2 linked regions of the Oryzias latipes genome follow. The protein of the gene in region 2 purifies or fractionates together with the protein of the main gene of each other region. This does not show direct contact. Links are inferred from orthologs where the notes say so. Each region holds a gene or a part of one and is shown on either strand. Other genes may lie near its edges. The genes, in order: mlx and carbohydrate-responsive element-binding protein.

What was found.
Region 1: the proteins of carbohydrate-responsive element-binding protein (region 2) and mlx purify together in Homo sapiens (affinity purification with western blotting; 3 studies listed by BioGRID and IntAct, counting the BioPlex papers as one, with this or other methods). This does not show direct contact. The link is inferred for Oryzias latipes from reciprocal best matches to the Homo sapiens genes MLXIPL and MLX.

What each region holds. Positions count from the first base shown.
Region 1 is NC_019866.2:6,755,792-6,760,149, forward strand, and holds the start of mlx (max-like protein X), read right to left. Parts: upstream 2,852-4,358; 5' UTR 2,749-2,851; coding exon 2,713-2,748; intron 2,663-2,712; exon of another isoform or gene 2,358-2,662; coding exon of another isoform or gene 2,352-2,357; intron 1,856-2,351; coding exon 1,819-1,855; intron 1,689-1,818; coding exon 1,599-1,688; intron 1,255-1,598; coding exon 1,145-1,254; intron 1,063-1,144; coding exon 960-1,062; intron 671-959; coding exon 571-670; intron 247-570; coding exon 45-246; intron 1-44. Other genes in the region: fmnl1 (formin-like protein 1), read left to right, coding at 3,987-4,163. UniProt on the Homo sapiens protein: Transcription regulator. Forms a sequence-specific DNA-binding protein complex with MAD1, MAD4, MNT, WBSCR14 and MLXIP which recognizes the core sequence 5'-CACGTG-3'. The TCFL4-MAD1, TCFL4-MAD4, TCFL4-WBSCR14 complexes are transcriptional repressors.
Region 2 is NC_019872.2:21,281,334-21,284,579, reverse strand, and holds the end of carbohydrate-responsive element-binding protein, read right to left. Parts: intron 3,053-3,246; coding exon 2,929-3,052; intron 1,634-2,928; coding exon 1,504-1,633; intron 1,389-1,503; coding exon 1,222-1,388; 3' UTR 723-1,221; downstream 1-722. UniProt on the Homo sapiens protein: Binds DNA as a heterodimer with MLX/TCFL4 and activates transcription. Binds to the canonical E box sequence 5'-CACGTG-3'. Plays a role in transcriptional activation of glycolytic target genes. Involved in glucose-responsive gene regulation.

The sequences.
Region 1 (4,358 bases), on a different chromosome or scaffold from region 2:
CGTAGTTTTCTAAGCACAAACGCTAAAAAAGCAATATTTGGTACCTGTGGTTTGCAGTGCTCTTCAATCCAGCTAAAAACACAAGCAGACAGTTCTTCGAAGCTGCTGACTGAGACGGAGTTGCTGAAGGACACAAACAGGGAGTCCATGATGCTCTGAAAGATGTCAAACTTGACCTGGTCAGACACCTGATCCTCTCCCTGTTGTGGATTGCTCTGATGAGCCTTTACTATGTGCTCATAGTTCCTTCAAAAAAACAAAACAGACAGTATTTATACCACTAAAGGTTGACAGCAGTTATGAATTTAACAGTTTACTTCAGTTTCTATTAGATTATTGAAGCTAAAAAGGTCCTGGAGAAGAAGAAAAAACAAACTATGATACAAAAATGATGTTTTTTTCAACAAAACTTTACATTAGAAAAGGGGCAAGAACTTAAAAAAAATCAAAATCTCTTAATGCAAAAAAAACAACAACTATATTTTTAATCCAAATAAAGGCAGAGTGTTGACAAACTATGAGGAAGACTTAAGTAGGAAAAGGTGGTATGTCATTATAAGCTGCTCTCACGTTTTCATTATCTTAAGTGCCATAACTTCTTTCCTCAGGACAGAGACTTCCTCCTCTTGCTTCTTCTTTTCTTTATGAAGAAAATGAATGTAGTCAATAGCTAAAAAAAAAAAAAAGAATCAGAGCATTGTCAGTTAGTTTCTTCATACTGCTTTTTATGGTTTTTGCATCTATTTTGTGACCATAAAGGTAACTGAAACTAGATCGTGTTATCAGTTTTTAAATGTGTTTAGTGGAAACTACCATCTCACATTTACCTGACTGTCTGAAAATAACCTCACTTTTAGCATTACAGGTGTTTCAAATATAAAAAGAATAAATACTTTTACAAATGTAAAAGAACAAATGTTATCATCCCACTATTTCAATAGGTTTTGAGTAAATCTTACTTTTCTGCAGGATTGTAGCTTTGCTGATCTTCTGTGCTCCTACGGCAAACTCAGACTGCTGTTGACAGGTTGGAACAATTGACTGAAGATCATCATAACCTTTCTGAAATAAAAGTAAAGAAATATATACGAGATCAGATATCTGGAATTTTAAAGACAGTGACGCGATTCTTCTGCGGTCTCACCTTGATGGCATCTCTGCGCTTTTGCTCAGCTTGTGTGTGCGCTTGTCTCCTTCTGTCTTTATACGAGTCTTTAAGCGACGTCTCGTGTCTGTAGTCGCTGTCCTCATCATCTATTTTGGAATAAATTAAACTATTGTGACCCGACTCTGTTTTTGTGCTGTCGATCAAATTATAAAAAGCATTTCAATAAATACAAGAGTCAAATCTCAAAGTGGCCTCATGGTTCTATTGGGATGTTAGCATGTTTTTATAAACATTTCTCACCAAGAAAAAGTATATTAAATACTTTTAACCAAAGAATTTAGTCTTCCAGAAAAGGGTAGATAGCACAATTGTGGATTGAAAAGAAAAACAATAAAGTAATTTCCTATTATTTTCATTTATGATGACAGAGTAAAACTTTTGATTGATATCAAAACAGACTGGATGTCGATTTAAAAGACTCTAAAGCTACCAGTATTTGGTACTGAAGAGGCACTTGTTGACCCGATGCTGTTTGCTCTGGACACCACACTTCCTTTTCTGGCTGTTTCAATATAGAAACCTGCAAATATAAGCATAAATGTTTAGAAATATGACAAAAATAAGACATAAACAAAAAGAAAACCAATCCGAAAAAGTTGTTTTCTCACAGGCAGGATTTGATTTAAAAACAAAACCCAAAAACTACTCACTTTGGTCAAAGCCACCATCGCTGAAAGCACCATCTGTCTGCGCAGCCATCATAAAGAAGCAGGAGAAATGGACAAAAAGCGGTGGGTTTACCATTATAGACCAAAAAAAGAAAAGAAAGTGTGCTGTTCTAAATACTTTGATTACAAAGACCAGAACACCCACTGAGGATTGTCCTGGTTTAACACATTCAAGCAGGGAGAACACAACTCGTTCGATCGCAATTTAGTTAAAATTTAGGACAACAACAAAAGAACAGGTAAACTTCACAATTAGTGATTTTCTAGTGGCTCCCTCTTGAATGGTACTTTCAGCATCAAAGTTAAGCTGACATATAAAAAAATACAATTAATCTACTGTAAAGTCAAGATTCAAAGGTTTTTTAACATCAAAAATATCTCTTAAAATTTTACTTAGTGGCACTGGTACCAAACCTGACAAAACAAACTACATGCATTAGCTTAAATGTAAAGGCAGACTACTAGTACTTCTTCGTTATGAAATCTTGACAGAAACCAAATTTTCATTTTCCTACCGTCATTGTACACACAATGAAACCGACTCTCTCTCCGTTCTTTTGTTTAGATATCTACGGTTTTGCTGACCCAAGTGTATTTTTTTCATGTGCATGAAGACTTTTTAAAAACTGAATTAACCCGAGTTTTCCGGTAGCTTTGTTTACTTAGCTAGCTTGCTTTGCTAAGCACTTCAATGTTGCTTAACGTCACTAAGCTAGTTAGCCGCGAGGCTATTATCAAAGCACCGTTTCCACTTTACTTCCGCGTTTTGACAGCCGAGTCAGTTATAACTGCCGCCCCCAACAACACAGACCAAGTAATTATTTAAAAAAGTAAAGTTTGTGATAAGTTAAAATCTGGTTCATAAGAGTGACTTACTTTCCAGTGTTCCTCTGGGGATGTAGGATCCGTCATTTTGGAAGGCTGAAAAAACTAATAGTGGTGTCGCATTCACGTGTCACTCGTAAATTAAACTGCTTTGTTAGGAATGAGATGCGTTCATATTTCAAACCATCAACATTTAAATAATACTTTAACTATAAATATAAATACTTTATATATGTATGTGTTTTGTATACAAGTAGTTTTTTTGTTTCTGTGATTAATTAGTAAGAAGATACTTTTAAATGTTTTACCTTTTGATGTAATATGTAACTGACGTAATTTTTGGTAAAAATGTAGGCACCTATTGTTCAAACTTCAAGTATTTGTCACATATATTTATTTATTCCTTTAACTATTTATATACACAACAATGTGAATGTTAGTATCATTCATAACGAAAATTTCATACTGATCTCAAATGTTGCACGGCTATATGCAGTGATAATCTTTAAACGCAGGAGGTCGCTGTTTCTCAGTTTTAAAACCAGTATTCAACTTTAGCTGTTTGACCCGTGCGACCTCCAAAACAAACCTGTCTCAAGCTAGAGTGGAATAAACAGCTCCAGTTTATAGATTTAGCTTTAAATGATTAATAAGCTGCAGACAATTCTATTGTTGGTTTAATTTTGTACATTTGCATGTTGTAATTGTGTCTTTATTTCTGGTTACCATGAGCAATGTAGTTCTTTTCTTTTGCTATGTGTTGTTTATTTGTTATGTACCTTTTTATATTTGTGATCCGAATAACGGATGCAGTTTATCTTCCACCCTGTCCTCCACCTCAGGTTCTGCTGCACTCATACACAGGAAGTTACTCTTCTGCTTTTCTGCTTCTGTGGTTTCTGTCTGTGTTTCACACTCCCCTCTCCTTCCTCTCATACAGAGGCGTCTCTGCCTTATTCAGAGAAGTTTTCAACCTGTGTAGAAATAGTTCATGAGAGTTGGGTACGTCTTTTCTTAGAGCACGCAGGCCTAACAAGGCTATTGTCTTGTTCTTGTTGGCTCATGTAGACAGACAAGTTTCTGAGCGGACAAACATGAAGACAACCCTCGTTTTTTTCATCACTTATCCTGTCTTGAAGACAGGACGCAATTTAGAATAAATGTTCTTCACCTTAAAGGCACAGGACTTGATTCATCTTAGACCTTCCTGTTTTTGTCATTTAGAGTGACCAACTTTTTGTCACTCTGCTCTGGAATACACCAATTTTCCTCGGAGAAAGGGTTTGTGTAAAGCTTTCCTCCTGGATTACTTTTGGAGATTAGTGATGGGGAATGCGGCGGCAGGGGGCTTGGAGCAAGAACCTGCTGACGGCCGGGACGCCAGGATCTCGGTTTCGGCAATGAGTGATCCCGCACTTGTCTTGCAGAAGAAACAGTCGGCTCCCCCAAAACTTCCCATGCCTCCGGAGGAGGAGCTGGAAGAACGCTTCAATGTGGTCCTGGTGAGTGGTTCTTGTTACTCACACTTTCACCAAATGCAGAGACACTACAGTCCAAGAAACCTGTTGTTAGGAAGGTTATTTGGAATCACATAAATAAGAAGTTTGATCTAATATAACCTTTTAATGTTTAGTCTTGTGTGTTGGGTTGTGTACAGCATTTCTGCACCTGCCAAGATGCTTGTTATTGTTTGAAAT
Region 2 (3,246 bases):
CCCTTAGTTCACACAAAAGGCTGCAGACGTATTATGAGTCCTGCACCCGAAAATGACGGACACAGAAAGAGACAAGTGGGCACAGTGCAGCAAAAACCAGCGAGCTGCAAAAACTGCACGGCGAGCAAAGGCTGCCCGCCCGGCCACAACACGGTCCCGACCCGCTCCACGAAGCCAAAGTGTTCCTCTTTGTCTCTGCCAGACAAACCTTAGGGCTAATGTATGTCACACAAAGGCGACATAAACACCGCTTCAATGTGTCTATTCAGAATTTATGAACCAGGAACGGACGCGGAGCGTGTTTTTCTTCGGGGATGTCCGTTAAGCTCAAACTTGATGCCTAAGCTTTTTTCGGAAACTCTTACCTTTCCGGTGGTCTTTTCTCTCGCTGAGTTCGTCGTTTATGGTCGATTCCGAGCGCTGGTTTCAGGTTTGCTGTATTTAGAAGTGGGGTGGGCCCCGTAGCTGATGAGGAGCCGTGTTTTCGGTCCCTCTTCTCTTCGGCGTTAGCTGGCCCGCTGCATCCGCTCGGTTCGTGGTGCTGAAGTGGACAGCGCACCGAGGAGCTCTGGGAACAAAACCCCCAACGCCGCGCTTCCACAGCGCACAAGCACAACAGCGCCCTCTGTCCGCCAGGAGGAGTGCTTACAGCGTAGGGTGACCCTCAGCAGACCCACATCAGAGTGACACACGTACAAAAAATGAAACATGAGGGATTCCTCGTTGTTTCGTCAGTTTATATGAATTAATCATTTCATACAAATCTGGATTTTAAGCGTGCTGAAAAAAAAAAAAAAAAAAAACTTTACCGCAGAAAAAAAATGCAAGCCAAAATACAATAAATTGTTTAGAAAGTTACAAGGTTTGACATATTTCACCCTTAATTTTGCTGGTATAAAAGTTCTGAACCATCTTTATGAACACTTAGGAGTACAAAAACCCAAATGACAGATTTGTAAATGTCCCACATTGCTTAGATTAAAAAGGAAAATATTTAAAAAAAATAATCAGTCCAAAAGATTGTAATAACTTGGGTTGTAGTATAATGTAAAACACTGACTAAAAGCAAATTGAATTTCTTGAATGAAAAATATCCATTCATATAAATTAAGCAAGTATTATAATGTACTAAACTTCAGTCTTTTTGTTGATGAATTTTATCAGAATTATGACCATAAAATCCTGGTTATTCGAATGAGCTTCCACCCAGTCTTCAAGGCTTCAGCATGGGTGTGTTCCACTGCTGGGGGGGGCAGGTTGTAGAGAGTGGTCAGTGGTGACAGAGGGGTCACCCTGGCTGACGGCGACTGTGGCCTGTTCTGGCAGTAGGCTTGGGTCTGTCAGAATGGCGGTGGTGGTACACAGGAGGCGGAGTGAACTCAGAACCACTGAGGTCACAAAGGGAAAACCAATAACATTAACATAAAAAATTTCAATAGCAAATAGTAATAACAGTTAAAAAAATGTGGCTTCTAATCATTGTCGTAGCTGCAACAGACTCACTGGGTCTCAGGGAGGGCAGGGAACAATGCTGATCCAGCCAGGACAGAGTTGACCGGCACAGATCCTCAACACTGGCGGTGGACACCATTCCATTGTAAGACTCAAACAAGGGCTCAATGATGATGCTGAACTGAGCACTGAATTAAGGGAGGATGTGACGAACCACCAAGATGAGACATGACTAAAATAGGAAGTTTCATATTGATAACATAGATGACCCAAAATAAATTAAAGCACGAGTTGCTAGAGACTCAATTGTGTGTTTTAAATACCCACTCCAATGAAAATAGTGTTTTTTGGCATGTTCTTGTGGCATTGTTCTGAAGATGGAGGACATACTTAAACAAAATTATGCTCGAAATTGTATTTCTGAGCATTTTTTAATTCAAATTTTTGTGGATCGGGAGCAGACGAAAAATGCAGGTATAAAAAGGTGGTATTTGTGACTTGGAAAATATGCTGTGTGAGCCACAAGCTCCCTGCCCTTCATAAACACATAGATCCAAGGAAGTCTTTGTTTTCCTCATCTGAACTGCCATCTGGCTCAAAACTGTACGGCTAGACAGCTCCAATATGGCTTCCCATTTTTGTTGCAGAGCTAATGTTAGCTTGGAGAAGGGGCTAATGTTAGCTTGAGAAAGTGCAAAAGAAGTGATGATGGGATATCAGTGGAGGCTTACTTTTGAGACAAACGTCTCAAACAACCCAGAGGGGGATTTCTGATAAACGTCTTCTGCTCTGCACAAACTATGTCTTAGAAAACAACACAGCTTTTTTTTGCCTAAGAATTGCATAATCATAATTAAAAGACTACTGGGAATGATTTTTTTTACAATAGATCAAAAGATGATTGGAGTGGAACCTGAATCAGAAATTTTATTTTACGTAGATCTTAATTAGCATAACTGCTTTTAGGTATTTTTATAAACTTTTTGCACAATGAACTTGAGGTTTTGCAAACAAAGGCCAAAACTTACAAAGTAATATTGCTATTATTGCATCATATATGACTACATCTGGCTGTTAAACTTGAGACTCAACAATGTTTTTATTTAAGAATAAAACTTCAGATTAAAAACACGATTGGATCTCTTCAAAGCACAGATATGCAAATTTCCATTTCATTAGAAACCTGAAAAAAGTAGAACATTTCTTTCCATCTACCAGAAGTTGCATAAAATTTTGTTTAATTGGTTCATTTATATTCAAGGCTAAAGGCCCAGAGCCATAGGATGATTTGATATTCCTCTAAATTCTGAAGAAAAGTGATTAAGCAGCAGACAACTATAACAACTCTCCATCCACACTTAGGGCTGGAAGAGAGGATTAATTAAAAAAATGTGATTATAGACCAAATCACATGTCATTTTTTTATAAGTTGGAAACAGAGAAATGCTCTTATGAATGTTCAAACCCATAGGATACAATCCAGAACTTCCAGTTTTGCAGAGTCTGGGCCCGTATGTACTCTCTGAACTTCTGCCTCATGTAGTCGAAGCGCTGCCGTGTGATGGGAACACCTGTGGCTGGAAGCTGCTGCTGGCAGGCACTGCAGGAAGAGAACTGAGTCAACAAAGCAAAGCACAATTTTGACTGACTGAAGCAGAGGATGCAAAGCTTAACAATCTGAGAACTTATTCTTTACCTCCAATCAGTCTAAATTGTTAAAGTCTCACTCCGATCATCTTGTGATCTATTTTCAAAGTGTTCCCAGTGGTCTTTTAATTATGATTATGCTGCTAG